4 linked regions of the Arabidopsis thaliana genome follow. The protein of the gene in region 1 interacts with the protein of each later gene in a biochemical or structural test. Each region holds a gene or a part of one and is shown in the gene's direction. Other genes may lie near its edges. The genes, in order: OST1, RAV1, AREB3 and MSL9.

Region 1 (8,007 bases):
CTCTCTTTTTACTTTCTCCAGAAATTGGCCTTCCTCTCGAACTGGCGTTAGTTCAATTTGTGTGTTTGTTTATGGTACAGGGATCATTACATGTGTTCCTGGAGAAAGTAGCGTTAAGGACAATCCGGTGATTGCTTGTTTAGATAGACTAAAAGAATTCGACAGTGTTTCAATAGACGGACCTCTTCGAGATGAGGTTTTCGATGAGATATCGAGTTTGTTCAAGAATCTCAATGAGCTTTGTAGCAGCCAAGAATCAGGGAACGCTGCAATTGCGACAAAACATGGTGCTGTGGATTTAACTTGCTCGATTTGTTCCAAAATCAAGATATCTACTAGAAGTAATCGTGTTCTTGTTCCTTGCTTTAAGGCTTTGGCTGTGTTGATCCGTGGTATGACTTCTGTTCTTGAATTAGTCGTTCTTGTGTGTTTTAACTTTGATTTGTGTTGATCATGTGTTATTCAATTGCAGACATTCAGAGCACAGAGAGATTCAGGAATTGTACTGGACCAAATATCGTTGTTGATCTCTTAAATGATTCCAGCTCCGATTCTGATTTGTTAGATGCTGGTTTTGCGGTTGTTGCTGCTGCAGCAACTGGTAATGAAGTTGTGAAACAGTTATTCATGGAACTGAAAATCGATGAACTTATTCTGCAAGTGTTGAATAGAGAGAGTAAAACTACCATTAGAGCTCTGTACGATGCTATTTGTGCTCTTTTGACTCCAGATGACTTCCGTGTTGTTGCTTCCCAAGTAAGTATGGTTACATTCGTTTGGTATATGCCACTTTTGACTGCGGGAATGAAATTAAGGGAAAACAGCTATATAGCACTTAGCAAACATTTATAATCGTTGTTTTTTGTGCTTATTCATGGACATGCTTTGAGAATTCAAATCCACTAGACTTTTGCTTCCATGTGTTTCAGGTTTATGGTTATGCACGAACTTTTGCCAAATTAGGGATTGCGACAGCCCTCACTGAAGCATTACAGGCAGGGATTGGCTCTGATAGTTTGGTGTCAGCAAGTACTGCGTTAAAAGCAATTGCTGTCAATGTAAGTCTCCTAGTTGAAATCTCTGTGTGATAACATTTATCTGGTTAGGTTCTTGCAAGTTCTTCATCTGGTTTTGCTGTAAACAGGATGAAATATGTAAATCTATTGCTGAATCCGGTGGAATAGATACACTTCTTCGGTGTATTGATGATAGCGGTGAGCAAGGCAACAAAACTGCTGCTAAGACATGTTGTTCCCTGTTGTCTAAGGTGAGTAGCTTCTAATATGCCCTGCAGGCTGCCTCTGTTGTCTTCATTGCCTTTGGTTATTCAAAATCCTTCTTTAAAACTCAGGCTTTCAAGTATTTTCCGCACCATATTAAGGAGTAGCTTATGTTCATGTGCTTCTAATAAATGCATGTTCTCAAATTTTAAGCTTTTCCAAAGCCTATTACTGATTTAGATTAGCATTGTAACCACGCATGATAAATGTTTATCTAAAATTTGTATTTTGATCTCTAGTTGGCAGGAAGTGACTCTAACAAGAGTACCATAGTTGAGAAGCAAGGTCTGGACAAGCTAATCACACTCGCACTACGATTCTCTGATGATCCTCTAGTCATACAAGAGGTAAGTATATAAACCAAACGAAAACCCTCTTATGACACTATGTCCCATGCGCAATTTTAAATCTTCCTGTCTAGAGAAGATACTTGTGACTACAGGTCACGTCTTTGGCAGTTTTCCACTAGATAGAACGTAATGTCGTGTGAAGAATGTTTCTTGTAGCATTAGGGTCTGAGTGCATAATCCTTGTGGTTGATCCAAGATATACTTGATTGGTTCAGGTGATGTTGATAATCTCTATAATCTGTCTGAGATCACCAGACCACGCAGCCAAGGCTATAGAAGCTGGAGCTGGTGATCTAGCGGTCCAAGCAATGAAGAGGTTCCCAGTAGCTGCTCAAATGCAGAGAAACGCTTGCAACATGATACGGAACATTGCTGTCAGAAGTGCAGAGAACAGGTTTTTGCTCTGTTTCCAATTCTTGTCATCCAACAATATGCACATATCGCAAACTCTTTTATAATATCAAGTTCTGTCTGCATGCACACTACAGAACTATTCTGCTTGCTAATGGAATCGAGAAGCTGATAAGAACTGCTAAAGCCAACAATGAGACATGCAGAGCCGCTGCAACTGATGCACTGAGAGACCTTGGCCTTGATAACTACAATAACTAAGGTCAATCTTTCTCCATTGGTTGGTACTCGCAACAACCGGAATGAATCCAGTTTTTTTTTTCAAAAATTTCATAAACAGTTTGCATTGAGTTCTCTCTTTTGGGTAGAAGGCATTCCGATCTAGTCTTTTTTGCAACGATTGCTTTTGTTCGAATGCTTGAACATGTAGTAAAATTGAAAGGAATTGATTGAAAATTTCGGTGAAAGGTACTCTAAATAGTAAAAAAGTAAATAGAGAAACAGAGGCTTCACAATGAGAAATTTTCATTCATTCACTAAAATCATTCGTTTAGTCAATGAATTTCCTTTATTTAGAAGAAATCGATTTTAGTTTGAAACAAGGACAAAATGTTTGTTTGACTAAAGGGAAGAGAAACAAAGACAAAATGTTCACGTCCATGGAATGATCGAGCTCTAGAAGAGTGTATTGGGAATATTAAGTACGGATATATGTTTTTAAAAGATGATTAAAAAAAAAGTTTGCAGCAAAATCGTCATGTGGATGCGCATAAACAAAAACTTTAGATAGTAAAAATGATGGGCTATAGTGATGATGAGTGCAACTCTATCGGTTTCAGCTTTTAGGTGAAGATCTGACAAGCTAGCCAACAATATCTCGACATTTGTGGTAACTTGTTTTTCTTTTATTTTCCGTTTTTAAATGCGGAAACCCTTTTTATATACCGAAATAGAAAGTAAATCTTTTTAGTGGTCATTAATACATGGAGGTTCCCATGATTAGCCATAAGCTTGTTTAATGCGAGTATATGTTTCATCAGCTCCGTTTCAGGACATATTTAAGGGGCAAAATTAATCCAGTAGCCAAAAATGTACATATGTAAGGGACATATTACGATATTAATATATAGATCCACTAACAGAAAAACTAATTGTTAATTTAAATTATTTCTATTTCATTTTTCACTGTGTTTGATTAAATTAAATTGGGATATAAAATCAATTCAAAATCTGTTATTTTAAATCTCATACCATTCTAGTGCTATATTTTTGAAAACTTAGATATTTTTAGTAACTGTTCTAGGCATAAATTTAATCAATTAATATTTTCATATTTTTTGCTATACTATTTACAATAAGACATATAATAAATCGGAAAAAATTAATGCATAATATTATGGAGAGATAAAACTTACTGAAAAATAAAGAGTAACAAATCACATAGTTTATACTAATACTTTGCCAATAAAAAGAAAGTTTATACTAATTAAAATATTATTTTCTATACTAGTCACGGTAAAAAAAAACATTTCTAAAAACTACAGGCCCCATTGTTTGTCAGAACGTTGTAAGTAGAAAGGGTAAATCCGTCATTTCAAACTATCTCCCATGCTTTGACAAATCACAATTCAACAGTTCACAGAAAAAGCGAAAACTTCTTCTATCTCTCTCATCTTTCTGTTTTGTATAGCTTACTTCAAGCTGTGGTTTAAACAGAACAGAGAAAGCTGTTTCCTTTTTATATTGACAGAGAAAAGGAAAGCTGATAGAGAGAGAGACAGAGAGAGAGAAACAGAGTTCAAGATCACGAGCCTTCCTTCTTCTTCTTCTTCTTCATCGAGAGCGATCAAAGGAACAAAAAGGATCTCAAGAAACCCACTTGTGTTGTTGGTTAGATACTTCACGGGTCTCTGAAAACGTCTCTTTCTCACAACCATAACTTGATCACCCAATACTCCTTTTCTCATCTTAAAGGCTCAAATTCATCCACGTCACACCGTTGTTCATTTCCTCTGATGTCTTGGTGTCGTTAGATATTGTCTCCCAAAAAAGAAATCTTCTTGACACAGAGATTGAAGTCGCAAAGAGACAGAGGAAAGAGGGGGAGAAAATGGATCGACCAGCAGTGAGTGGTCCAATGGATTTGCCGATTATGCACGATAGTGATAGGTATGAACTCGTCAAGGATATTGGCTCCGGTAATTTTGGAGTTGCGAGATTGATGAGAGACAAGCAAAGTAATGAGCTTGTTGCTGTTAAATATATCGAGAGAGGTGAGAAGGTCAGTTTATTTTCTTCTTGTTTTTTCTCCTTAGTCCAATTTTATTTTATGTTTCAATTCACTAGGTTCTTGAATTCAAAAGAAATCATTTTTGTGTGTTCATCATCCAATGAGAGATGTGTGTTTGGTTACTTTATGGTTATGAATGGTTTAACCCTATAGATTTACAAAATTGATTGATTTTTATGGAAGACCAAATTTGCTCTGCTTTGCTTTATGACTTATGTTGTATAGTGTTGTTTTAAAGGCTCTAGGTGTTTCTTTTGTTATGGAACGTGGTATTAATGGTGGGACTTTTTGTATTTGTACAGATAGATGAAAATGTAAAAAGGGAGATAATCAACCACAGGTCCTTAAGACATCCCAATATCGTTAGATTCAAAGAGGTTTGTTTTCAACTCTCTTTTAAGCTGTTTTCTTATTATTAACATTTTCAGGAAAAAAAAGGAATTCTATAATTTAATCCTTAGGATTGCTTCAGGTTATATTAACACCAACCCATTTAGCCATTGTTATGGAATATGCATCTGGAGGAGAACTTTTCGAGCGAATCTGCAATGCAGGCCGCTTCAGCGAAGACGAGGTTGTTCTCTCTTTTTTTTCTTGCTTTGATGATTAATCGAAGATTCAAAATGCTGAGGCTAATATATCGTTTACTATCATGTAGGCGAGGTTTTTCTTCCAGCAACTCATTTCAGGAGTTAGTTACTGTCATGCTATGGTAATGAAAAATGCTCTCTATCAAATCAATGCTTCATCCTCTGTGAAATTCAGCTGACTTAAGAAGTTAAATTTTATGTTGTAGCAAGTATGTCACCGAGACTTAAAGCTCGAGAATACGTTATTAGATGGTAGCCCGGCCCCTCGTCTAAAGATATGTGATTTCGGATATTCTAAGGTATCTTTGAAAACATTTCAGAAACTCTGAGTTAGTTAGTATCTCTAAGCTTTGTGTTTTCTTTTTCAGTCATCAGTGTTACATTCGCAACCAAAATCAACTGTTGGAACTCCTGCTTACATCGCTCCTGAGGTTTTACTAAAGAAAGAATATGATGGAAAGGTACTCCATTTTCATAGTTCCCAAACTAGTATGATAACCATATCTTATAGAAAGAACAATCTTTGTATTTTTATCCTCTGATTATAGATAGGGGAAACATGCTTTCTCTTGATGAAAGCTCACACAAATAAAACAATCTTGGCTCTTCAAGAATTTTGGTGAAGAAAGCTATTAAGAGTCTGATTTGTAAACTGATAATTCTTGAGTTTTGGTTGAATTAGTCAAATGCATCCTAATGTTCTTCTTTTTTTTCAGGTTGCAGATGTTTGGTCTTGTGGGGTTACTCTGTATGTCATGCTGGTTGGAGCATATCCTTTCGAAGATCCCGAGGAACCAAAGAATTTCAGGAAAACTATACATGTGAGCCTTTCACTTTCTTCATGCTTCAATAGTTGAAAAATGTAATTATGGATTTTATTACTTGCTAGCTAAACTATCTGTTCTCTTGTGAAAATATTTGCTCAGAGAATCCTGAATGTTCAGTATGCTATTCCGGATTATGTTCACATATCTCCTGAATGTCGCCATTTGATCTCCAGAATATTTGTTGCTGACCCTGCAAAGGTAAAGGAAGGATCATGAAAGCTGCATTTGTTGATTTATTTGTGAATTTTCTTTATAGTATGACTGAAAAGAGAACTTTGCATTTTGGCCCTCTTGGTTGGTTTCTTGGCAGAGGATATCAATTCCTGAAATAAGGAACCATGAATGGTTTCTAAAGAATCTACCGGCAGATCTAATGAACGATAACACGATGACCACTCAGTTTGATGAATCGGATCAACCGGGCCAAAGCATAGAAGAAATTATGCAGATCATTGCAGAAGCAACTGTTCCTCCTGCAGGCACTCAGAATCTGAACCATTACCTCACAGGTGAGACAACACAAAACATAAACTTTTCGATTTCTTGTCTTTTTTAATGCTTCTCAATGTTTGAAAAACTTATCATTAATGGATAAACAGGAAGCTTGGACATAGATGACGATATGGAGGAAGACTTAGAGAGCGACCTTGATGATCTTGACATCGACAGTAGCGGAGAGATTGTGTACGCAATGTGATACTATATATCTATTTGCATGGTTTCTGCTACAAAAATGTCAAACAAAAAATGTTGAAGAATAAGATTAAGATGTTTTGCTTGCTATTGAGTTGGCCCAACTTTGTCTCAATGAGTACACTTTGAATCTTTGATATGCAAAAGACTAAATTTCTAAACAAAAGTGAAAAAAAAAAAAAAAAACATTTTCATCAATCAGTATTTTATCTACTCTCTCTAGTATTTTTTGTTTGTTTTTCTAATAATACTAGAAACAAAATTGTTAAACTAATTTGGAGAAGTTGACAACTAAACAACATATAGGCTATGCAAAAGATAAAGAAATCGATATTCTGTAGTACTATACAGATTAAAGTGGGTACTTGATAATATCAAACTGAAGTAAATAGATGGGGCATATCTTGAAGACTTGAACTATATGGAAATAAGATGATATTCCCATTTTCACAAAAAATACAAAAACAGCATAAATGTAGATGGAACACATTCATTAATAATTTAATATGCATGTTATATGTTCAGAAGGACATACGTACGGTAATTCGCTTTAAATTAAAAAAGATGCTTATTCACGCATCTTCGTTTTTTTTCTTTTCTAAATATTTTTCGAATAATAAATTGATAATGAACCAGTACTTGATAGTTGTTCTTGTTCATTGAAATTAATATTATTCCTACTTTAAAAAATACTCAATGTTTTTAATTTTTTTAAAAAAAGGAAGAAGAAAACAAGCAGTTACAATTTGCAACGTTTTTATTAAGAAAATGGAAGCATGCATGGTTGGTCGACCTATGTGACAGTGTCTCTTGTACTGTAACACAACGTGAATGATTTTGAGTTATAGATGAGATATGTCTGCCTTAGCAACTGATATCATTATTGTCTTCTTATCTTCGTTATTTTCTTTTAGTTTCAAACTATTTTGTACCATTTATTTTACCTATTCACTCTGGATATAGGCATAGTGGATAAATAACATTATTAGTATTTTTTAAAATAAATTCTATTTTGGATTGGGAAAAATATTACTGACACAATATGGCTTTGGCCGATAGACAGGAGATATGAACGATTTTGACAAGATTTCCAAAGACCGTTGTGGTTTATGTTTCTATTTATGTTTTTATACTTTCACTACGAAATTTTATACAATTTCAACGGAATTTAGTTTTTTGGGTAAAATTATGACAAATATGTGTCGGATTTAGCGAAAGCATAATTTTTGTTGTCTCAATGTGAAAAAGATTTACAGAAAAATTTGAAATAAAAACTTGTACCAAAATAATCATATAAATCCATTGTAATTTCCGATAGATTGATTTGTCACTAAAATAAAAGTAATCATCAAGTATGATCTCCTCATTGCCGTCAGACTTGTCCAACGGTAGCCTTTTTTGCCATTGCAGAGTTGCTCATTATTTCCGTTCCGACACTTAATCAAGTAAATTCTGATTGTTATTTGTTAGTTTCTGCATCCAGATGGTGATATTCATAACAATCAAGTACATTATTAACTTGTTTTTTTTGATAAAAAAATAATTGACTAGAGTAGTTTGAAAATGACTAATTATTTATGGTGTGACATTGGCTTATTCGACATAGTGTGGGGACTGGGGAGGGAT
Region 2 (6,536 bases), on another chromosome or scaffold:
TTGATGAGATTATTGAACATATGCAAATATATACTGTTTAAGATAGCATGCAGAGTACCCAATATCAAAATTAAACCATTTATAAAAACACGTTTTTCTCGAGGCTCCATGTAATACTAAATCAGGACTCTTGTCTTGTTTTCTGAGTTAGATGAATATTGAATACCCAAGCAAGATAAAATAAAATAATTTGAGCCAGCACAAGAAATGGAATCGTTGAGTTGGATACAGGTAGGAATCCGAATAAATAATTATGTTTGAAATACATGAGCAAGATGGAGAAAATTAAAAAATTTAAAAAGATGGAGAAAATTATTCTTAAAGAAGAGTTACAGTATTACCTACCAGTTAGTATCGTTTATCAAATATATATTTAATATTACTTATTTTTATATGTTAATTCATGAAAGCTCATAAACATAAAGGGGGAGAAAAATGTTATAGTTGATTGCATTCGTGGTAGCATAAACTATTTCAAACCTAATTCTTACAATAATTGATATAAATATTATAGTTATGTTAATAATAAACCGTTGTAAATTATTTACATCATCATCTTTAGAGTCGCTATAAAATAATATAAAAGTTATTTACATTATTAAAAACTAATATAAATATATAAAATAACTTTTTTAATTGTCGTGTCTGTATATTTTTTCTTCAGTGTGTGTATTTTTAAAATTAAGAAAGACGAAACCATGAAAAAGTTACTTCAACACATTCAATGTGAAAGCTATATATGAAATAAAAAAATATCCCAACGCATTATAATTCAATTAGACAAGTCGAGTTTTCTGGTTGAGAAAAGAAAAAACTTTAACAAAAAAAATTGAAAAAAGAAAAGAAACCAAAATCGTTTTTTCCGATATATCGTGTGTTATACGTTGACAAAATAGGTACTGATGGAAATTATTTACCGACAAGAAAATAATTAAATATATCAACGAATTGACAAGCTAAATAAGCTAAAGGACCAAGTTGAGGAAAAATGAGGTCCACCTGCGGACCAATAACAACTCGTCCGTACTAATAATATCTATTTATACCTATGTTGGATGTTTCAAAAAAAAAAAAATTAGCATCATAAATCAGATACTTTTTCCTTTAGCACTCTTATCTATTTTGTTTCTCTATAAATCACATTCTAAGGTCTTCTACCTCCTTTGCTCAAAAAAAAAAAAGGTCTTCTACCTCTTTTTTCTAAAAACATACAGTATATAATTGTAGTTTTCTTATAAAGGAGTAAAAATATGATAAAAAGTTCTGTTACTCTTTTATCATATAACAAAACAACTTTCACTATCTTTGTAATATCTATAAAAATATGCAATGATATAAATTCCAAACAAAATTTACAAAACGTATAGAAGAAACTAACTAATTCTGATATGATCAAATCAAAAGTATAAAACAATGAAAGTGTACTGGTGAAAATGTCTCTCTTTTGTAAGCAGAGGTTACACAACTTCAATAATGTATCACTTACAAAACCAATTTTTCAATTTGGAGCTCAAATACTTAGAATCATAAAAGAAACATGGATGAGCCCAATCTCTCTTACGGAGACAAATTCCATGAGAAAAGAAAGCTGAGTTAGCAACAAGTGCCACGTGACAACATACTCAATTTCTTCTAAGGAAAATACAACCATCTATTTCTTTTTGTCGCATACCCACCCATATATGATATACTTAGAACCATTTTAAGTTTTTTTAAAACATAAAAATACGATTTTAAATTTGAAAATTTGATTAGAGTGTGATTATCTAATTATTGTGTTGTCTATAAATCTACACAGTCACTACTTTCTACCACACTGATTTTAACAAAATCAATTAAAGTTGATCAGCACTTATTTCTTTCATATGGGCTTAAATGCCAATTTACTTATATATATTTTGATGAAAATGTGTGGTAAAACTTAAGAAACAAAAAAATCCTAACACTAATTAGCGCCTAGGTATTTTGAGCAATGCCTCTTTAACTTAAAAAGAAAAAAACGAAAAAAGACAAAAGTAATTGTCCTGCTGTCAAGAAATGCCCATATTATTATTCATCCACACAAGACACGTACGACCATGCCTCTTAGTGATTTGTCATTGGCCCACTTCCCATCCTAGTGGATCAAATTGATAATAAATACTATAATAAATAATTACAAGAATTCAAATAGAAACCGGCAAATCAATTAATAGATATAAAAAGGAGATATAAATCGTTAACATTTTCTATTGGAGCAGGGAGAGCCAATAAAAGTCGAATCTCACGATATTTCGCAGTTCTCTAATTGGCTCTTTGCATAAAAAATGAAACCTAACTAATGGGTAGAAGAATACTTTTGCAAAGCAACAAATATATCAGATAAGATCGTAAGCTATCCACATCACTTGTTAATTGTCCTCAAACCATATTATATAATGCAAACAATTTATGGCGTTAAATCCTTACGTATTTATTCTCTATAAGAGTAAAACACACACACTGAAGGCAACTGATTTAATTGGATTTCTATTGACCAGTAGAAATACTTGTTATGATGTCGGTCGCTCGTTGGCTAAGTATTTCTTATAAATATATAAGACATATTTAAAATCTTTTTACATTACATACACCCACTTATGAGAAACAAATATAATAAAATGTTGATACCAAATATATATATATATATATAATAAAATGGGATAATTACAAGAACAACAAAAGAGAGATTTTTTATGAATTTGGAATTGGAATCTATCGAGTGCATATATTATACGGACAATAATCCTCATAGCAATACACATTTTTTCTATAAAAAGAAACGTAGGATAAGATTATAGAAAGAAGAATAAAAACCTGGAAATGGAAAATAAAGAAGATATATATCATGAGTTCATGACTAAACAACTATTTATAGCTTTTTCAATAATAATATCATTCAAGAGTGAAGAATAACAATCAGATTTGGAAGAGAAAAAAATTTAAAGAGAGACACCATTTAACATCGGTAGGATCTGAACATGGTTATCAAATCTAATACTTTCTATTTTATTATTTTTCATATAGTTATTATCGTTACTATAGTATTATAGTGAATTAAAATTTTAAGCATCAAAACTCAGGGGGGATGAACTTCACTAAAATGATGTCAATATCTCACGTGGACCCTTTATCCATTCCATGGCCCACACATGGGTCCCACTTCCCCATGCACACAGCCCACAACATATTCATTTCTATATTTGTTCCTATACTCTCTTTTCTCTTTTTCTTACATAAATAAAATACTAACTTATTATAAGGATTATTATTGCTTCGTGTGTTTTCTTCTATAAGTTACATCAACAGTTCATGAAATAGACCCTAATATAGTAACCTAAATTAAATGCCGTATATTTCATTATGTTTCCACGAAGCTTCCTTTGTGTTCTTTGAGTTGACCCATACACACCCATCTTACTTCCCATGCACCTGCACATATACTATAATTACTCCCCTCAAACACGCATTCTTACAAATATATTTTTTGTTATTACCAAATAAAAAGTGAAACATAAAATAATAATATCAGAAGTGACACTTGCTGTTTCTTATTTCCCTCCCCCCAAGCTCTTTCTCCTTCTTTCTATATATATTATACACACACACGTATACATATACACAACATAATTCACAACACAACACAAACACATTTCTGTTTTCTCCATTGTTTCAAACCATAAAAAAAAACACAGATTAAATGGAATCGAGTAGCGTTGATGAGAGTACTACAAGTACAGGTTCCATCTGTGAAACCCCGGCGATAACTCCGGCGAAAAAGTCGTCGGTAGGTAACTTATACAGGATGGGAAGCGGATCAAGCGTTGTGTTAGATTCAGAGAACGGCGTAGAAGCTGAATCTAGGAAGCTTCCGTCGTCAAAATACAAAGGTGTGGTGCCACAACCAAACGGAAGATGGGGAGCTCAGATTTACGAGAAACACCAGCGCGTGTGGCTCGGGACATTCAACGAAGAAGACGAAGCCGCTCGTGCCTACGACGTCGCGGTTCACAGGTTCCGTCGCCGTGACGCCGTCACAAATTTCAAAGACGTGAAGATGGACGAAGACGAGGTCGATTTCTTGAATTCTCATTCGAAATCTGAGATCGTTGATATGTTGAGGAAACATACTTATAACGAAGAGTTAGAGCAGAGTAAACGGCGTCGTAATGGTAACGGAAACATGACTAGGACGTTGTTAACGTCGGGGTTGAGTAATGATGGTGTTTCTACGACGGGGTTTAGATCGGCGGAGGCACTGTTTGAGAAAGCGGTAACGCCAAGCGACGTTGGGAAGCTAAACCGTTTGGTTATACCGAAACATCACGCAGAGAAACATTTTCCGTTACCGTCAAGTAACGTTTCCGTGAAAGGAGTGTTGTTGAACTTTGAGGACGTTAACGGGAAAGTGTGGAGGTTCCGTTACTCGTATTGGAACAGTAGTCAGAGTTATGTTTTGACTAAAGGTTGGAGCAGGTTCGTTAAGGAGAAGAATCTACGTGCTGGTGACGTGGTTAGTTTCAGTAGATCTAACGGTCAGGATCAACAGTTGTACATTGGGTGGAAGTCGAGATCCGGGTCAGATTTAGATGCGGGTCGGGTTTTGAGATTGTTCGGAGTTAACATTTCACCGGAGAGTTCAAGAAACGACGTCGTAGGAAACAAAAGAGTGAACGATACTGAGATGTTATCGTTGGTGTGTAGCAAGAAGCAACGCATCTTTCACGCCTCGTAACAACTCTTCTTCTTTTTTTTTTCTTTTGTTGTTTTAATAATTTTTAAAAACTCCATTTTCGTTTTCTTTATTTGCATCGGTTTCTTTCTTCTTGTTTACCAAAGGTTCATGAGTTGTTTTTGTTGTATTGATGAACTGTAAATTTTATTTATAGGATAAATTTTAAAAAGGGTTACTTAGATATGTCTCAAGAGTTTTATTAGCATGAGATGATGAAAATGTTGTTACCAAATCTTACCTTGGTTTCTTTTCATTTTATGTGTATGGGAACTCGTATTTATATGTATGCATTAGCTACTGCTTATGGTATTTGCTGCTTTTTGTATATAGATTTGAGGAGTTATGACTTATGCGTACGTAATTTTATAAAATAACTCCAACCAAAAGAGAAAAAGTTTGCAGGGTCTGTAAACGTATATAATCGTATGATGATATGATAGACCATACTCCGATACAAATAACCAAAGAGAAAGATATTTTAAAATGAATGCTATTTAAGCTTTTGCAAGATATTATTTTAAGCTTCAGAAATTATTGTGTTGGTAGAGAGATTCATGTTGCTGTTAAATAATATATATGTATTTATAATTCTATCTACTACTTTTTCGGCTTAACTCAATCTAGATATTTGTTTCTAAAAGTGTTTTAGTTTTCTTTCTTTCGCTGGCTGCGACTATGAGTATCTTCAGATTCTCTACAAACTTAGGTATATATAGCTATTTATTTCGAAGGAATTTGATGGTTAAAACGAATAACATTAAAACTCTGTTAATCTCTTACGAAATGGTATATAGTATATGCGTTAGAGTTTGAACATATGATGATAATAGTACACCTGCCGCATACATTACTATGTACCTACATAAAGGAATATATTGACCATTGATCTAATGAATGTTCCGTTCATATGCACTTTCTTTCGATACAATTCGGTGGACTATAACATTATTCCATTATAGCATAAAATCCTATTATACAATTAAAAATGCCCACGCAATTTTACGTATACTTTTGTCTATAACACACATCCACACATAATTCAAGTTGTGTTCAAATAGTAACACAGCAGTAGCTTTAGTGAAAATTATTAGACTTGTTGATACCAAAGACTAGAAAGAAAGAAAATAAATAAATGTACTAGAAAAAATCCACCATCATAATCGTTATTGTTGTTTGATTTTTGTGGATCCATTTAGATATACATTTATCAACGACTAATTCTCAATCTAACAAATTCTATAAGATAGGAAAATTTTGAAAAAGCACGATCATAATTTAGAAAAACACAAGTTAATCATAAAGTTACTAATTTAATAGCTATAATTTCTTTTAGTTACAAGAACCATAAAAATGTCGTCAAATATCTTTTAGATAATCTTGTCATAATTCAAAACTTCAAGCAAATCATATCTTCATAAACCCCATATGGCCTAAAGTAGCCTATACTTGATCGATCATATACAAGCCCAATGGGCTTTAAAGTCCATTAGTTTGTTAATTAAAATATCAAGAACCATTTTTTTTTTCTCTTCACTGCAAATTTTGATATTTTGGGTTTTAGCAGTGAAGTTTGCGAAAATGGCGTCTTCGGTTTTTCTATCCAGTTTCTCGTCATCGTCTTCTTTGCAACTCTGCTCTTCCTTTCACGGCGAGTACTTAGCTCCGTCGAGATGCTTTCTCGGAGCTCCGGTCACTTCCTCTTCTTTATCACTCTCCGGTTTGTCATTTTTACTTGTCACTGTTTCTTCGTTTGCTCTGTTCGTTATTCAATTATTGCTTCGTT
Region 3 (7,325 bases), on another chromosome or scaffold:
CCATTAGAATTCGAAAATGACAAAGAAGAGAAAGCTCGAAGGAGAAGAATCTAACGAAGCTGAAGAACCGTCGCAGAAGCTGAAGCAGACGCCGGAGGAGGAGCAGCAGCTTGTAATTAAAAATCAGGATAATCAAGGAGACGTTGAAGAAGTTGAATACGAGGAAGTAGAGGAAGAGCAAGAAGAAGAAGTAGAAGATGATGACGATGAAGATGATGGTGATGAGAATGAGGATCAGACGGATGGGAATCGTATAGAGGCGGCGGCGACGTCTGGATCTGGCAATCAAGAAGATGATGACGATGAACCAATTCAGGATCTGTTGGAACCATTTTCAAAGGAGCAAGTTTTGAGTCTTCTTAAGGAAGCAGCGGAGAAGCATGTTGATGTAGCCAATCGAATTAGGGAAGTAGCTGATGAGGACCCTGTTCATCGGAAGATCTTTGTGCACGGTCTTGGTTGGGATACGAAAACAGAGACGCTTATTGAAGCTTTTAAGCAGTACGGAGAGATCGAAGATTGCAAGGCTGTGTTTGATAAGATCTCAGGGAAATCTAAAGGTTATGGCTTTATTCTGTACAAGTCTCGTTCAGGTGCTCGCAACGCACTCAAGCAGCCTCAGAAGAAGATTGGTAGTCGTATGACGGCATGCCAATTGGCTTCTAAAGGACCTGTCTTTGGTGGAGCTCCTATCGCTGCTGCAGCTGTTTCAGCGCCTGCTCAGCATTCGAACTCGGAGCATACTCAGAAAAAGATTTATGTTAGTAATGTCGGAGCAGAGCTTGATCCACAGAAGTTGCTGATGTTTTTCTCAAAGTTTGGAGAAATTGAAGAAGGTCCTTTGGGTCTTGATAAGTATACTGGGAGACCTAAAGGTTTCTGTCTCTTTGTTTATAAGTCGTCTGAAAGCGCCAAGAGGGCTTTGGAGGAGCCACACAAGACTTTTGAAGGCCATATCTTGCATTGCCAGAAAGCTATCGATGGTCCCAAACCGGGCAAGCAGCAGCAGCATCACCATAACCCACACGCCTATAACAATCCTCGTTACCAAAGGAATGATAACAATGGTTATGGTCCGCCTGGAGGTCATGGACATCTCATGGCTGGTAACCCAGCTGGGATGGGTGGTCCAACGGCACAGGTGATAAACCCGGCCATTGGACAGGCCTTGACAGCTTTATTGGCATCTCAGGGAGCTGGTTTGGCTTTTAATCCGGCAATTGGACAGGCTTTGTTGGGTTCCTTGGGGACAGCTGCTGGTGTAAACCCAGGGAATGGAGTTGGAATGCCAACTGGTTACGGTACTCAAGCTATGGCACCGGGGACAATGCCTGGGTACGGTACACAACCTGGGTTGCAAGGCGGTTATCAGACTCCGCAACCTGGTCAAGGCGGTACAAGTAGAGGGCAACATGGTGTCGGGCCATACGGTACTCCTTACATGGGTCACTAAATGTATCATGTATCCATCCACTCAGGTAGAGCAATGAATTTCCCTTGTTTAATTGTTGAAATGTCTTTCCTCAGTATATATTAACTTACTGATGTCTGAAGACAAGAAGTTTCTGTGTATATCCACATGGTTTTTGTTTGCATTGGAGTTTTGGGGGATTTTGCAACGGTTGTTAAAGCATGTTACTTCTCTTATTTTCTTAAATTCATTGTGCAGATATCAGAAATCAGTGTTTTAATATTGGCCTGGTGATTCTTCTCAAGTTTATAAGGAGCTGATGCTAAATGAAGTCTTTATGAAATGTTACTCTTTGGTCACTCCTAAGGCCAAACTCATAAAAAACCTTTTAAGGAGTTTTAGTTTTCATCTACTTGTTTTTCCCAAACTCTCTTTATGAAATTCCTAAAAAAAACTTTGTACTACTATTTTCAGTGTTTATGTCTCTATTTTTTCAGTTTTCTGAATATCCCCCTTAGACTTTCATTTGTAAAACTAAAAAAGCGCAACTACGCTCCATGTGGGTCTTTGCTTATCGAACTCTAGTTTTTCCTAAATAGTTTTTATTGACTTCTCTGTTTTACGATTTCATGTGTTTTTCTGCCTGCAGTGTATTTTGTACCAAGTTATCTTGATTAACCTGGCTTTATGTACTATCCTGATTTTATGTTTGTTCAATTATTCCTCTTGCAGGTAATTGACTGCGGTTGAACAGCCAGATTATGTACCCCTAACTGTCAATGAAATTTCTTTAGCACACATATACTAATCTGAATGCAATTGGTTCTGAAATGATCAAAACTTGGAATTTTAAAATGCAGCAGAGCTCTCTCACTTGTGTTTTTGGATTTTCTATGACAAGTTTCAAAAGTTTTTACAATGACTATTTCAAATTAGAACTTTGTTTCCAAACTTATTTGTCATAAAATTACTAAGTTGCAGCCAACTTGGAACAGTCAAACTTGGTGGGAAGTGGTGCAAGCTTCTCAACGACACAGCTGAAGAATGATCTTTCTGAGGCAATTTCTCAATATTTGAAAAGTGGAAGCTATCGAATAGAGTTTCTCGACAACAGGCAGTTAAGTCTTTGGATCTCCACAACATGCTTGCAACTAAAAGGTAAGTTCAAAGTGTTGAGTATCTTCTTTGGCTATATACAACGTGCTTCCAATTGAAGGGTAAGTAATCAAAAGTGTTAAAAGTATATCTCTCAGTGCGAATCTCTTGCCTATATATGTTCTTGTTTATTGGTCCTAGTCCCTCTTTGAAGTGATAAAAGTTGGTTTTGGTCTAGAGAGCATGTACCTTCAGGTCCTTGTGCACAAGGTTCAGGGATTATTAGAAAAGTCACAAGAGTACGAGGTGATATATTATTTCCCTTAATGTTTCAGAGGAGTTTATAAAGGCGTGAATGCATAAAGTTTTTTTGGTGATGATTGCTTTGATGGTGAAATCTCTTTTTGGAAAAGTGCAGCTTTGAATATTATTTATGATGATGATACATAGTAGAAGGGTTCATTGATGATGAAGAAGAGAAGCAGAATATGAAGCTGAAGTGGAATTGGGGGAAGTAAGTAGTAGAGTTTTGTGTATTTGATCTCAAGTCAACAATCTCTCAATTGTTATGTCAAGTTTCGAAAAGGGAAAAAGGTCCTTCATTGATGAAGAGAATCCAAGATGCAATATTCTTCAAAGCCACATTCAATGTTCATAAAACCCAATCTGAGATTGGATAATAGAAAGTATAATTAAAGGTTTGAGATTTCAATATTGCAAAAAAATACATGTAAATTATTGCCTAAAAATGGTTTAACATGATTGCAGATTAATTTATAGTAATCACTTACCATTTAAAGAGAAACTCATAGGCATGAGGATTAGTGTTGAGAGCCAAAGAACATAAACATGTATATGTATAACCTTTTCTGATTAAAGTTTGATAATCAATCTACCTAAATTCCCATTGAAGCTAAATGAATGAAGGGTCTCCGAGCACATGTAGTGTTTATTGATTCCACCTTCATTTAAGTTAATCACTAATCATTAAGTGTTTAAACAAACCTCTGTTTCTTATTTTGATCGAAAGTTTGAGAAACCATTTTTGGGCAACTAAAAAAAGAAGAAACGCATTGAAAATTCCACAGGAGGCTTGAGAGGGGGGCATTGCCACAGTATCGAGTGTCACTTTCTCAATCAAAAGGTTTTCTCTCTCTTCTCTTTTTTCCTCTCCTGCGCGAAAACAAAACGAAGAGAGAGAGAGAGACTCAGACACACACAGACACAGAGTTTAGGTTTGCTTTGTAAATCTGTCTCTGCACTTATCATAGTTTCGTTTCTCTTTTGAGAAAGAAAAACCCAAACTTGCCATGTTTTAGATCTGGTCCTTTTTAAGCTCCAAAAGATTGTTGCTTTTTCTCTTGCTTAAGTTTTTGATTTATTCTTCTTCTTCGAAAAGTCTGTACCTCGCAAGAGTTTGATTGTCCTTGTGTTGCGATTTCCATGTTTAGTATCTGCATTTGATAGCCTTCGATGCTGCATGCAATTCCCAAGACTCTTTCTGATTGCTACAACGCCGTGATTTCTCTCTGCCATTTCCTTCGATTTGATTTCTGGGTTCTCTTCTTCTCGTCTCTCTTCTGCATGTTTCGCCACTCTACCTTAGAAAAAAGGTTACTTTCGCCTCCGATTTAGGCTCGATTTGATGAATTCGTCGTCGTGTGGCTATTTATCAAATTGAGCATTAGGGTTTCTGATTTGTGGGTTCAGAATTGTTTTTATCTATCTGTCTTGTTGTTTTTTGTCCGCTACAAAAGCCTATGGATTCTCAGAGGGGTATTGTTGAACAAGCTAAATCTCAGTCCTTGAATAGGCAAAGCTCTCTTTACAGCTTAACACTTGATGAGGTTCAAAATCACTTGGGGAGTTCTGGTAAAGCTCTGGGAAGCATGAACCTTGATGAGCTTTTGAAGAGTGTCTGTTCTGTTGAAGCTAATCAGCCATCGTCTATGGCTGTCAATGGTGGAGCAGCTGCTCAGGAGGGTCTTTCTCGCCAGGGGAGTTTGACTTTGCCTCGGGATCTCAGCAAAAAGACTGTTGATGAGGTTTGGAAAGACATTCAGCAGAATAAGAATGGAGGTAGTGCTCATGAGAGGAGGGATAAGCAGCCTACACTTGGGGAAATGACGCTTGAAGACCTGTTGTTGAAAGCAGGAGTGGTCACTGAGACTATCCCTGGTTCGAACCATGATGGTCCTGTTGGTGGTGGTAGTGCTGGTTCAGGTGCTGGTTTAGGGCAAAACATTACTCAAGTTGGCCCATGGATTCAATATCATCAGCTCCCATCAATGCCACAGCCTCAAGCATTTATGCCCTATCCGGTTTCAGATATGCAAGCAATGGTGTCTCAGTCTTCTTTGATGGGTGGTTTGTCAGATACACAAACTCCTGGAAGGAAGAGGGTAGCTTCAGGAGAAGTTGTAGAGAAGACTGTAGAGAGGAGGCAGAAGAGAATGATAAAGAACAGAGAGTCTGCTGCTCGTTCCCGAGCTAGGAAACAGGTGAGAAACAACTAATTTGTTGTTGTTATTCTTCTTGTCAAGTCATGCTCGTTTTTGTTTTAACATTGGATATTGATGAGCAGGCTTACACTCATGAGCTAGAGATCAAAGTTTCACGGTTAGAAGAAGAAAACGAAAGACTCAGGAAGCAAAAGGTAATGCATTGTAGGTTTTTCTCCCTTTTTACAACACATGCATTGATTAAATTTGTGATTACTAGAAACTTGTAAGAGCTGATCGTTGATTAGTTCTGGATTCATATTAAAGGGAATGATAGATGATAGAAGATGTAGTGAAGTATAGAATAGGGCACACGCATAGTAGACAATATATGATAGAAAATATAACCACGAACAAGAGACAGGAGGAATAGGTTTAGACCAAACGTCTTAGGAGACATAGTTTTCCTTTACCCGGAACAAGTTGGTCTTGCTGGTTTCTAGTCTTCATGGACTTTCTGTTCTTCAATTTTGTCTGCGTTTATGTGTGGCCAAAGCTAATCCTTACATTACTTTGCAGGAGGTGGAAAAAATCCTCCCAAGTGTACCACCGCCTGATCCCAAGCGGCAGCTCCGACGGACAAGCTCGGCTCCTTTCTGATCTCTAAACTCTTTTTGTCTTTTTCTTTTTTTCTCTTCTGTGTCGGTTCACTTATAAAAAAGAGAGGAAAACAGCTTTGTTTCTTTGTACATTCCGTAGACTTTCTTGACTTGGAGCAATTCTGTTAACTTTAAAATATTCTCGAGTTATTGTAGTAGCAGACTAGCAGCAGTAATGGTTTTCATGAGTCCGATTGAAATTCAGAGATTGAACAGAAGGAACTTGTGTTTATTATTCTTATAGCATTTGATTGCAAAGTGTAAAGAGTTATAGACAAAGTCTAAATGGATCACACTGAAAGGAAAATTGTTTAACTCTGCAAAGCCTTCTTCTTGTAGGCCACTTTTGTTCTTAAATGTAAACTTTTAACTCAAATTCATCTCAAGAATTTGTTTGCTATATGTTCTGCAATAGCCAAGCTTGAAGTTAAACCAGGTGATTCGATGCCAAAGAGATTAACAAGACCAGGAACTCCATGAGTCTCCTCTCCCTGCATCAGGAACACACAAGACTCTTGAGGATAACAAATGGTTTCATAACAAAACCGAAGATTCCACAGGACCTAATGCTGTGAGTGTAGTCTGATGCATTTTGATAAACAAAAGCTTACCTGTATGACAAAATCTGCAGGAGACTGTTTTGGCCCGGAAAGCTTAGGACGGATGCCTGAATAACCCGGTTCCAATGATCCATCTTTGAGATCCGGATAGTACTTTCTGATCTCTGGGTAGAATTTCTCTGATCGTTGTGGGTTTACACGATAATCAAACCTGAATACAAACAGCATGAAGATCTTGAGTAACTTCAAAATGGACTAAATAGAAAGGATAATTTAAGAACAGATGCAGTATTTACTTGTTGAGGAAGCTTGATGTATCATCTGTGCATTCAATCCATTCTACATCAGGTCCAAACTTAACAAGTCCGTTCAAATCTACAGTGACATGGACACCGAGACCTCCTTCCTCAGGTATAGGATACACAAGTTTATTAAAAGGTGGAGCCTTTATGCCCGATAGTGTAAAGTAGCATCCACGAGCATAGTGAGACGAAGGAACAAATCGATGATCTAAGCCATGTAGTCTCTTTGCTAGAGCTTGAGCACCTAATCCCGCAGAGTTAACAACAAGATTAGGGATAAGCTCAAGCTGTGCTTCTGCCTCACACCGAGATTCAGAAAATCTGGTATCAGCAACATACAAATGCATCTTCTTTTCTTCAACACGACCGTTTAAAACCACCGTGTTGTACGAGAAAGTTGCGTGGTTGTTCTGTGCTTCTCCCTGTAGTCTCAAGTTGTTGTTATCCCTGTAAACCATGAAATCAAAACTCTTTTCCTAAAGACAGAACAATGAAGACCCTATATAGAGAGCTGGGGAAAAGTTTATTATATATACCACTAAAGATAGCATGAAGGAATGTGTATCAAGAATGCCAGATTCAGGAGATAGCAAAGCTTTAACACAACGAAGCTGTGGCTCCATTCTCATAGCTTCAAAACCTTCCAACATCCTTAGACCCGAGACTCTATTCTGAGTTCCAAGATGCATCAATAGATCTAGTTTCGGTATCTCAGAGGATCCCGTAGCAACGATAAGCTTACCAATCTTCTTATGAGGGATTTCATATTCAGAGCAGTATTTATACAGCAATTCCCTCCCTCTTACACAAAACTTGGCCTGCTCAAAATCCAAACAAAACTCACTATTGAACTTACC
Region 4 (8,114 bases), on another chromosome or scaffold:
TATTACAAAATTCCGAAAAAAGGACGAACCTTTTAGCAAGTTGGGAAGCCACGGACTCGTACCACTTGCTAGCATTGGGGAAGGCATCGCTGGGTTTCACTGGAACGGCAGCGTAAACCTTGACATCATCCACAGACAATTGATCTCTGCAAATTCAAACTCTCTTATACGTCAAAACGGGAATAGAAACAATCGAATCGTGTCGCAAAAACAATAGGAAAAGTGAGAAACTTTACCCGGAGATGTAGGTTTTTCCGGCGAGGTGCTCCTCCACGGATTTGACACCCTCCTCTGTGTGTAGATCTGAAAAGGTAACGGCCATTGTTGCTGAGTTTTAGGGTGTGAGGGAGGTAGAGAGATCAGAGAGACTAAGCTGCTGTTGAAACCTAAAAGAGTATATCCTGAGCTGTGAGACTCTGAGAAACCCTAAACCCAAATAAACTGACAAATATTTGGGCTTATTTATGGGCCTTCAAAGTGGCTCGTTCCCAAAGAGAGTCCGGAAAAAGTAAAATTAACATTTAGGTTGTTCTTTATTTGGAAAAAAATAACATAGGTCTCAACTCTCAAATAGGTAAAGGTATCTACAAAATTGGAAATAAACAAATTAATGATAAAATTTATTCTTCCCAGTTTTGGGTATAGAGTGAAACCTTGATATGAATGAATTGTAATTTGTACTATTTTGTATATATGTAAATCTGTAATGAAAAGTAAAATATTTTTGATGAATTTAAATTTACTTGACTCCGATTGATCATACTAAACCAGAGCTCATTTTGGACTTAGTTTGTGTTATTTTAGTAACTAACTTAGACAATTATGTAATGTCATGTGTATATTTTAACAGAATTTGAGTGTCAATTCTCTTCCCAGATATGGCAATGAGTCACTACCATGCTGCATATTTATAGTTGGCTCCTTCATCTTGGAATCAACTTCTCTTGGTTGCTGCATGATACAACAGATAAAGCTTGAGTCTGCTCCAAGGATGGCGATTTATGAAACTTGGAAGGAACATAATCACCATTATCACCTTGACATTATACACTACAACCTGATGTTACCGTTGTCCCAAAAGACCAAGAAGATCTCTCTAAACAAAGCTTAGGCTCTGCTTCGATTGGGGTCCCTTACTTACTTAGTGATGTTGGTTTGATCAGTAGTTATCAACTTACCACTTATTAGTTTGGTGAAACGATGGTTGAGAATTTGTATATTTCTTTGAATGCTACATTTATAGGGTGTTTATTTTCTCTTCTATTTTTTGGTTGATATGGTTCATGTTTAATTCTTTTATAAACTTTATTTTGTTATTGCAAACAAATCCTTTGCCAATAAAAGAAAAATGTCAAAGTGTACATATTACTGGTCACTGTCACGTTTGAGTTTTATGTTTTGGTCCATATATCGTTTGAGTTTTATGTTTTGGTCCATATATCACCTTTACTTTCGACTTGTGAGATTAAACACTTGATGACATGACCACATTACGTACCTACAAATTGTACATAACATTTGGGAAAAAGATGTATTCAATATTTGGCATCTTTATAAGAAAAATCTATTAATTACAAATTTACATTTTTAAATAATAAGCTTAACGGCTAAATGACATAGACACAAGATAACATTAAAGTAGTTAAATTCAAATATCCACGCATTGAAATTATCTACTACTATTTTTGTTGTCGTCCTTTAGTACTCATAAAAGGATAGGTTCAATTTTGAATAATTGAATTCGGATTTGTTCGATGCGAGTTATTTTAAATATCCTACCGTGCACATTAAAATCATGGGAAGAACTAAGAAGATAGGTACGTAGTTTACACTCAAAACAATATAAAAGTTGATTTTTTCATCGAAATGCCAAATTCGTCTTTAGTCTTTACCGAAATTTTAATATATTTCATTTGTGAAAATAACGGTAAAACCAAGGACTGTGTCTGTATATATTCTTGCTGTCGCCTTTGTCTTTTCTTTTCAACTCTTATTAAGTGGTACTATTATATTACAGTTTTTAAAAATTATAACTACATTACTACTATATGATTTTTGTGCAATTTAAGATCTATGATATTAGCCAGACCCATTCATAAGCAGCTGTAGCAATTCTGCATTAACTAACCCTTCTCTATTTGTTCGTTAACCAAGCTAATGCGACTTCTCATTTCATGTTGTTTTTTACGTAGATCACATGCATTGATCACATCATTTTAACTAAATGACACTGAATTTTCAATATTCTATTTGAAGAATCATTATTAATATAGTACTACTTAATTAAAGAAACTAAACTAAAAAATATAAACATATTCGCGAGACATAAGAAAAAGATGTCTATAAATTAAAAATAAGACTGTTGACAACAACAAAGATAAATAAATAAGACTGTATTCATATCTTTTTGTTATCAATTCACATTGGAAGTATAAAACTTTATTTTTCTGGGAATCCCCTCTGAGATCCACGTGATTTTATTTTTTATTTAATTGATGCCTATTTGTTTCTTGTCTGTATTTACTGGAATTCATTTTAAAAATAAATTTGTTCAACTTCTTCGTTTTGGTAAATGCACTTATAAGCTGGAGTTTTCGCTCTTTGCAAAGCAGAACTAAAGTTTCAAGATCAATCCTTGCTTGGCCTTTCAGTGTCCTTGTACGACTATCTCTCTTTTCCCTTTCTCTGTTATCTTTATTTGTTTCTTTAAGTTTCTAAAAGTGTTTTCTTTTTTTTGTCCACCCAAAGATAAAGAGAGTTCAATACCTGCTCTGTTTTGTCTCTGTAACTTTTATAGTAAGCTTATATCCTAAGTATACGTTTGAATATTTTCCAACGAGGCACTGTTGGTTTACTTTTTCTTTGGAAGTATACATATGTGTTTTGGGAAACTGTTGATCCTTCTTACGGCTTTCTTCAGAAAATTGGTTGGTTTTAAAGAGTACTCATTTACTTAGAAAAAATGTTCTTTCTTGCAGATCTCTTTTCTAGCCTTGTAGGATTTGGTTTAGGTTTTAAGGTTTAGCTTAGATTTGGTGTAAAATTTTGTCAATAGTCATTAGTCAACTAAGTCCAAAGTCGGTGTCAAGCATGTGTTATGTCAAATCTCGTTGTATCTAATTGTGTAAAGAGTTTGTGATTAATGTAATCACTGATGCACTTCTACTCTCGTGTTCTTAGGATTTGGTCCAACTTCTAGGCTCTTTTGGGAGCCATTGGAGTCAAACAGCACCGCAAACTTATTGGTTGGAAGTGACTTAGGGATGGCTGAGAGGAGAGTCAGTAACGGAGAAGAAGTTGTTATTAATGTTTCAGATAAAGAAGATTCAAAAGATCCAAGAGCATCTCCTTCTTTCAATCCATTGGCTTCACCAGACTCCGATGCTGGGATTGAGAAATCGAAACCAGTGCCGCCCATAAGCATTCCTACTCCTGAAATCTATAAGTTCTCTGGTAGCGTTCATAAGCCACCTAAAATTCCAAGTCCTGAAGGTCTAGTTCGGAGGAAGTCTCTTTCGAGGTCAATTTACTCCAAGCCTAAGTCAAGGTTTGGGGAGCAACAGTCTTTTCGATACGATAGCACTAGAGAGGAAAATGGTGGAAGGTCCCTTAGGGAACAGTTTGGTGCTGGTTCATTTGCAAGGGGTTCTTTTGACAGGGCTTCTCCTAATAACAAATCCAATAGGAGCGTTGCGTCAGCAGCACTGAGTAAAGTTGCTGAGGAGGAACCGGATGAAAATGAAGAAATCTACAAAAAGGTTAAGCTACACCGAGTGAAGCGTAGCGGAATGAAACCTCTGGCCTTTCTTGAGTTGGTAGTGTTTATGGCCATTTTGGGGGCTTTAATTGTGAGTTTAACCATTGATGTGGTGAACAAGCATACCATTTGGGGGTTGGAATTTTGGAAATGGTGTGTGCTTGTGATGGTTACACTCAGCGGCATGTTGGTGACAAATTGGTTCATGCATTTTGTGGTGTTCATCATAGAAAAGAACTATCTTCTTCGGAAAAAAGTTTTGTACTTTGTGCATGGGTTGAAGAAGAATGTTCAAGTCTTCATTTGGTTTAGTCTGGTTCTGATTGCTTGGATATGTCTGTTCGATGGTGATGTTAAACGTACTCGTAAGACCAAGAGATTTCTAGACTTCATCACTTGGACTATTGTCTCTCTTCTCGTAGGGTCAATCCTTTTCTTGGTGAAGACGTTTGCCTTGAAAGTTCTTGCTTCAAAGTTCAACGTCAGAAACTTCTTTGAGAGGATTCAAGAGTCTGTTTTCCACCAATACGTTCTTCAGACTCTCTCGGGACCTCCGCTTATCGAAGAGGCAGAGAACGTTGGGCGCGTGCCAAGCACAGGTCACCTAAGTTTCACAAGAACCAAAGATGGAAAGGTGAAAGACAAGAAAGTGATCGATATGGGAAAGGTTCACAGGATGAAACAAGAGAAGGTCTCTGCTTGGACAATGCGTGTTTTGATCGAAGCCGTGGGAACTTCAGGTATATCAACCATATCCAGCACTCTAGACGAGGTCAACAATAAGAAAGAGAGAACAGATAAAGAGATAACAAATGAGATGGAGGCTGTTGCTGCTGCTTATGACGTCTTCAACAATGTCGCTAAGCCAAACCACAAGTGAGTCATCACACAAATACTCTGTTTTCTTCTACTCTGTTTTCATGTTAATCTCACAACTTGAATTGCTTTTTAATTTCTCAGTTACATAGAAGAAGATGACTTATTGAGGTTCATGATAAAGGAAGAAGTAGACCTTGTACTCCCATTAATAGAAGATGCCGACACCGGAAAAATCACACGCAAGACTTTTACAGAATGGGTGGTAACATTCTTCAAACACCCTTAATTTTTGTGTTCAAAGTTGTTTTAGATGACTAATGGTTACCAATAAAGGAAACCCTAGATAAAAACATAACACATGTCTATTTAGAGAAGTTGTTAAGTTAAAGTAGGTGTGTTGTGCCATTTTTTGACAGGTTAATGTATACACAAGTCGGAAAACTATAGGGCATTCACTGAACGACACAAAAACAGCGGTTAAGCAGTTGGACAAACTTATAACTGGAATCTTGACCGTTATCACATTCATTGTTTGGATGGTACTTCTGGATATAGCATCGACCAAGCTTTTATTGGTCTTCTCCTCACAATTTTTGGGTCTTGCTTTCATGATCGGAAGTACTTGTAAGAATATCTTCGAATCCTTTATGTTCGTCTTTGTGATGCATCCTTATGACGTCGGAGATCGTTGCGTTGTCGACGGTGTTATGGTAACTTACTTTGCAAGTTTGTTTAATTTGCTCACTATTACTACTCAGTTAAAACATCTAAATCATTGAGGTATTTTTTTTTTATATTATTGCTTGAAGTTGTTGGTTGAAGAAATAGATCTTTTAACAACCGTGTTCCTCAAGATTGACAACGAGAAAGTGTTCTACCCAAATTCGGTTTTAATATCGAAACCGATAAGCAACTTCTACAGAAGTCCAGATATGGGAGATTATGTCGACTTCGGCATCGCATTCTCAACACCGGCCGAGAAAATCGGCTGTCTCAAGGGAAAAATCGGAGAGTAAGTATTAGGCATCTTGGTTCTTCACATATATATTTTAGTCCCCTAACTACCATATAACATGACCTTGACCACATTAAATCACTGACTTTTCATTGACTCTAAATTTGGTGTTGTAATTGGTCAGATACTTGGTGGCAAACTCACAACATTGGTATCCAGAAGCACAGGTGATGGTGAGGGCAATTGAGAATATGAACAAGCTGGTATTGAATATACTGGTCCAACACACGATAAATTTCCAAGTATATGTAGAGAAGAGTTTAAGAAGAACCGCGCTGATCATCGCAATCAAGCGAATTCTCGAGGATCTTGAGATCGATTACACTCTCCTTCCTCAAGATGTCAATCTCACTGGTCACAAATGATCGTGTTTTCCTTCTCTTCTTTTGCATTTTATTCCACTAGTACTAGTTTCCTTCATTTGCTTCGGTTTAAATTTGATTTGTTTCGGTTTAATTGCACTCAGAAACTCGGGTTTACTTTAATTGCTTCGGTTTAATCGAACCATAATTGGCCTATTCGATTTCTAGATTTGGTGTGGAGAAATAAGTAATTGAAGATCGGTCTTTCTTAGTAAGCAATATAGTCTTGTTAAACCGGAATAACTTGAGGGAAGAACAAGAAAACAAAAAGCAATGTAGAAAATAAAACCGAACCAAAGTAATCAAGATTCAAGACAACACCCGGTTCTGTGCGGAGAAAAGAAACCGGCCTTTTGTTTTTGTGACATGGGTTTGGTAATAACACTGAAACTGAAACCGGTTCGTCTTTAAATATGCCGGTACGCCACACCATGACCATGAATGAATCTCGCATTCTCTTCACTATAAACTTCAGTCTCCTTCTCTAGCCTGCTCAATTTTTTAATTTCAAAAATTTTGTAAATAAATCGAATAATTATTTATTGTGTTAAGAAAAGAAAATAAAAGAGAGAAAAATGGAAATTACGCGAGAGAGATGGTTTTGTTGAGAGTAGCAGCAGAGACGAAAGAAGGAGCGTTTAGATACATCAATTCTCCGTTAACTCTCTCTTCGATTCTTCGATCCATTTCATCAACTTCAACGTCAAACTCGTGGTCCGATGCCATCACCCATCCCCATGTGTCCGCAAATGATGGCACATGTGCTGTGTAAGCCTTCACGTCTGTTTTTATATCAATCATCAAAAAATGGATCCAATAATGTCATTACAAGAACACACACGAAACAGGCTTTAATTTGCTTACACTTGAAGACTTGCTTCATGGTGTTGTAGATTGATGTGAAGACTTCCTTATGAGTGAATATTCCTGCTGGTCCAGCCTATGAATGATTTAAGTAAGTAAATTTAGTCTTTTGTTATCATTCTTCTAAAATTATTAATATTTATCAAAGAATAATTAGAAGAAAAAATAAAAGATGTATAGACCTGGGTGACAAAAATGCCATTAGGGCTAAGCTTGGGTTTGAGAATGTTTTGGTAGAAGGATTTGGTGTAGAGCTGATAACAAGGTCCACCTTCCACTGGATCAGCTAAATCTCCCACTATGATATCAAACTTCTCTTCCCTTTTCTCTAATTCAGCCCTTTTTCACATTTCAAATTATATTTTTTAGAGATTTTAAACGTCAGATAAAAACTTTTTTTGTTTTGTTTTGTTTTAGGTTCCTTACTTTGCATCTTTGATCACAAGTTCAAGCTTTTTGTTACAGAAAGCATCGCTGTTAACGGTCAGAAATCTTCTGCAAAAATCAACAACTTCCTAGAAGAAGAAAGAAAAAACATGTATTTGTTAAGATCATGCATGAACGTATATTTTTGTTAATACAATTGGAGGTATGAGATTAACCTGATCAATATCACACATAACAACTTTCTCGATCGTCGTGTGTTTTAGTATTTCTCTTGCAGCAGAGCCTTCACCTCCTCCCATTATAAACACAGTCTTGGGGCTACTCAATGAGCAAATGTTAAGTAAATGACAATTCCAAACTATGTTTATATAAAATGTTCATGTATAATAATAAACAAGTGATATAATTTACTAAATATTAGTAGAATCAGTAGGCTATATAGGTGCACTGTTCAAATCTGAAGTACTCAATTTGATTACTAAAAAATCTTTTATATATACAAAATTTTATTTGTAAGTGAAGTAAAATAAAGTGCATACTTGGGATGGAAAAGGAGAGCGGGATGGATCAAACATTCATGGTAGATAAACTCATCTCTCTCAGCACTTTGCATTTTCCCATCAATCACAAGCACCTGTTTTAACTTTTACTAATTAGTCTCCACCATATAATATCACTACAAGAAATTTGTAGTAATCAAAACTATACAAAATAAACATGAACTTTAAGTAAAAATATTGTTTCATAAGAATAATTGACAAAATGTACCTTTCCAAAACGTTTGGTGTCCAACAGAGCAATATCTTGGTACTCACTAGTTCCTTGATGGAGAACACTGTCGACAAAAAAGAAAATTGTAAAATAAAAGACGAGGAGAATTTAAAATAAGAGCAAGTCAACTTGAAATGGA

Evidence for each region.
Region 2: of the proteins of OST1 (region 1) and RAV1, one has a biochemical effect on the other in vitro, tested with the Arabidopsis thaliana proteins (one study listed by BioGRID).
Region 3: of the proteins of OST1 (region 1) and AREB3, one has a biochemical effect on the other in vitro, tested with the Arabidopsis thaliana proteins (one study listed by BioGRID).
Region 4: of the proteins of OST1 (region 1) and MSL9, one has a biochemical effect on the other in vitro, tested with the Arabidopsis thaliana proteins (one study listed by BioGRID).

The regions. Positions count from the first base shown.
Region 1 is NC_003075.7:16,268,273-16,276,279, forward strand, and holds OST1 (Protein kinase superfamily protein), read left to right. Parts: upstream 1-3,472; 5' UTR 3,473-4,091; coding exon 4,092-4,262; intron 4,263-4,573; coding exon 4,574-4,648; intron 4,649-4,743; coding exon 4,744-4,845; intron 4,846-4,929; coding exon 4,930-4,983; intron 4,984-5,067; coding exon 5,068-5,160; intron 5,161-5,229; coding exon 5,230-5,322; intron 5,323-5,577; coding exon 5,578-5,682; intron 5,683-5,787; coding exon 5,788-5,886; intron 5,887-5,998; coding exon 5,999-6,197; coding exon of another isoform or gene 6,198-6,244; exon of another isoform or gene 6,245-6,287; coding exon 6,288-6,385; 3' UTR 6,386-6,553; downstream 6,554-8,007. Other genes in the region: AT4G33945 (ARM repeat superfamily protein), read left to right, coding at 81-392, 473-756, 930-1,058, 1,145-1,267, 1,520-1,627, 1,846-2,024, 2,119-2,242.
Region 2 is NC_003070.9:4,538,668-4,545,203, forward strand, and holds RAV1 (uncharacterized protein), read left to right. Parts: upstream 1-3,500; 5' UTR 3,501-3,718; coding exon 3,719-4,753; 3' UTR 4,754-5,303; downstream 5,304-6,536. Other genes in the region: MAP1C (methionine aminopeptidase 1B), read left to right, coding at 6,332-6,470. UniProt on the Arabidopsis thaliana protein: Binds specifically to bipartite recognition sequences composed of two unrelated motifs, 5'-CAACA-3' and 5'-CACCTG-3'. May function as negative regulator of plant growth and development.
Region 3 is NC_003074.8:21,044,836-21,052,160, reverse strand, and holds AREB3 (ABA-responsive element binding protein 3), read left to right. Parts: upstream 1-3,546; 5' UTR 3,547-4,266; coding exon 4,267-5,007; intron 5,008-5,090; coding exon 5,091-5,162; intron 5,163-5,526; coding exon 5,527-5,607; 3' UTR 5,608-5,927; downstream 5,928-7,325. Other genes in the region: UBA2A (UBP1-associated protein 2A), read left to right, coding at 17-1,453; AT3G56840 (FAD-dependent oxidoreductase family protein), read right to left, coding at 5,984-6,097, 6,218-6,377, 6,463-6,890, 7,005-7,286. UniProt on the Arabidopsis thaliana protein: Binds to the embryo specification element and the ABA-responsive element (ABRE) of the Dc3 gene promoter. Could participate in abscisic acid-regulated gene expression during seed development.
Region 4 is NC_003076.8:6,582,816-6,590,929, forward strand, and holds MSL9 (mechanosensitive channel of small conductance-like 9), read left to right. Parts: upstream 1-2,539; 5' UTR 2,540-2,658; intron 2,659-2,675; exon of another isoform or gene 2,676-2,927; intron 2,928-3,180; 5' UTR 3,181-3,263; coding exon 3,264-4,633; intron 4,634-4,717; coding exon 4,718-4,838; intron 4,839-4,992; coding exon 4,993-5,286; intron 5,287-5,385; coding exon 5,386-5,588; intron 5,589-5,715; coding exon 5,716-5,956; 3' UTR 5,957-6,151; downstream 6,152-8,114. Other genes in the region: AT5G19510 (Translation elongation factor EF1B/ribosomal protein S6 family protein), read right to left, coding at 30-146, 237-322; ACL5 (S-adenosyl-L-methionine-dependent methyltransferases superfamily protein), read right to left, coding at 6,361-6,442, 6,540-6,735, 6,818-6,893, 7,000-7,156, 7,244-7,332, 7,420-7,522, 7,744-7,838, 7,973-8,039. UniProt on the Arabidopsis thaliana protein: Mechanosensitive channel that opens in response to stretch forces in the membrane lipid bilayer.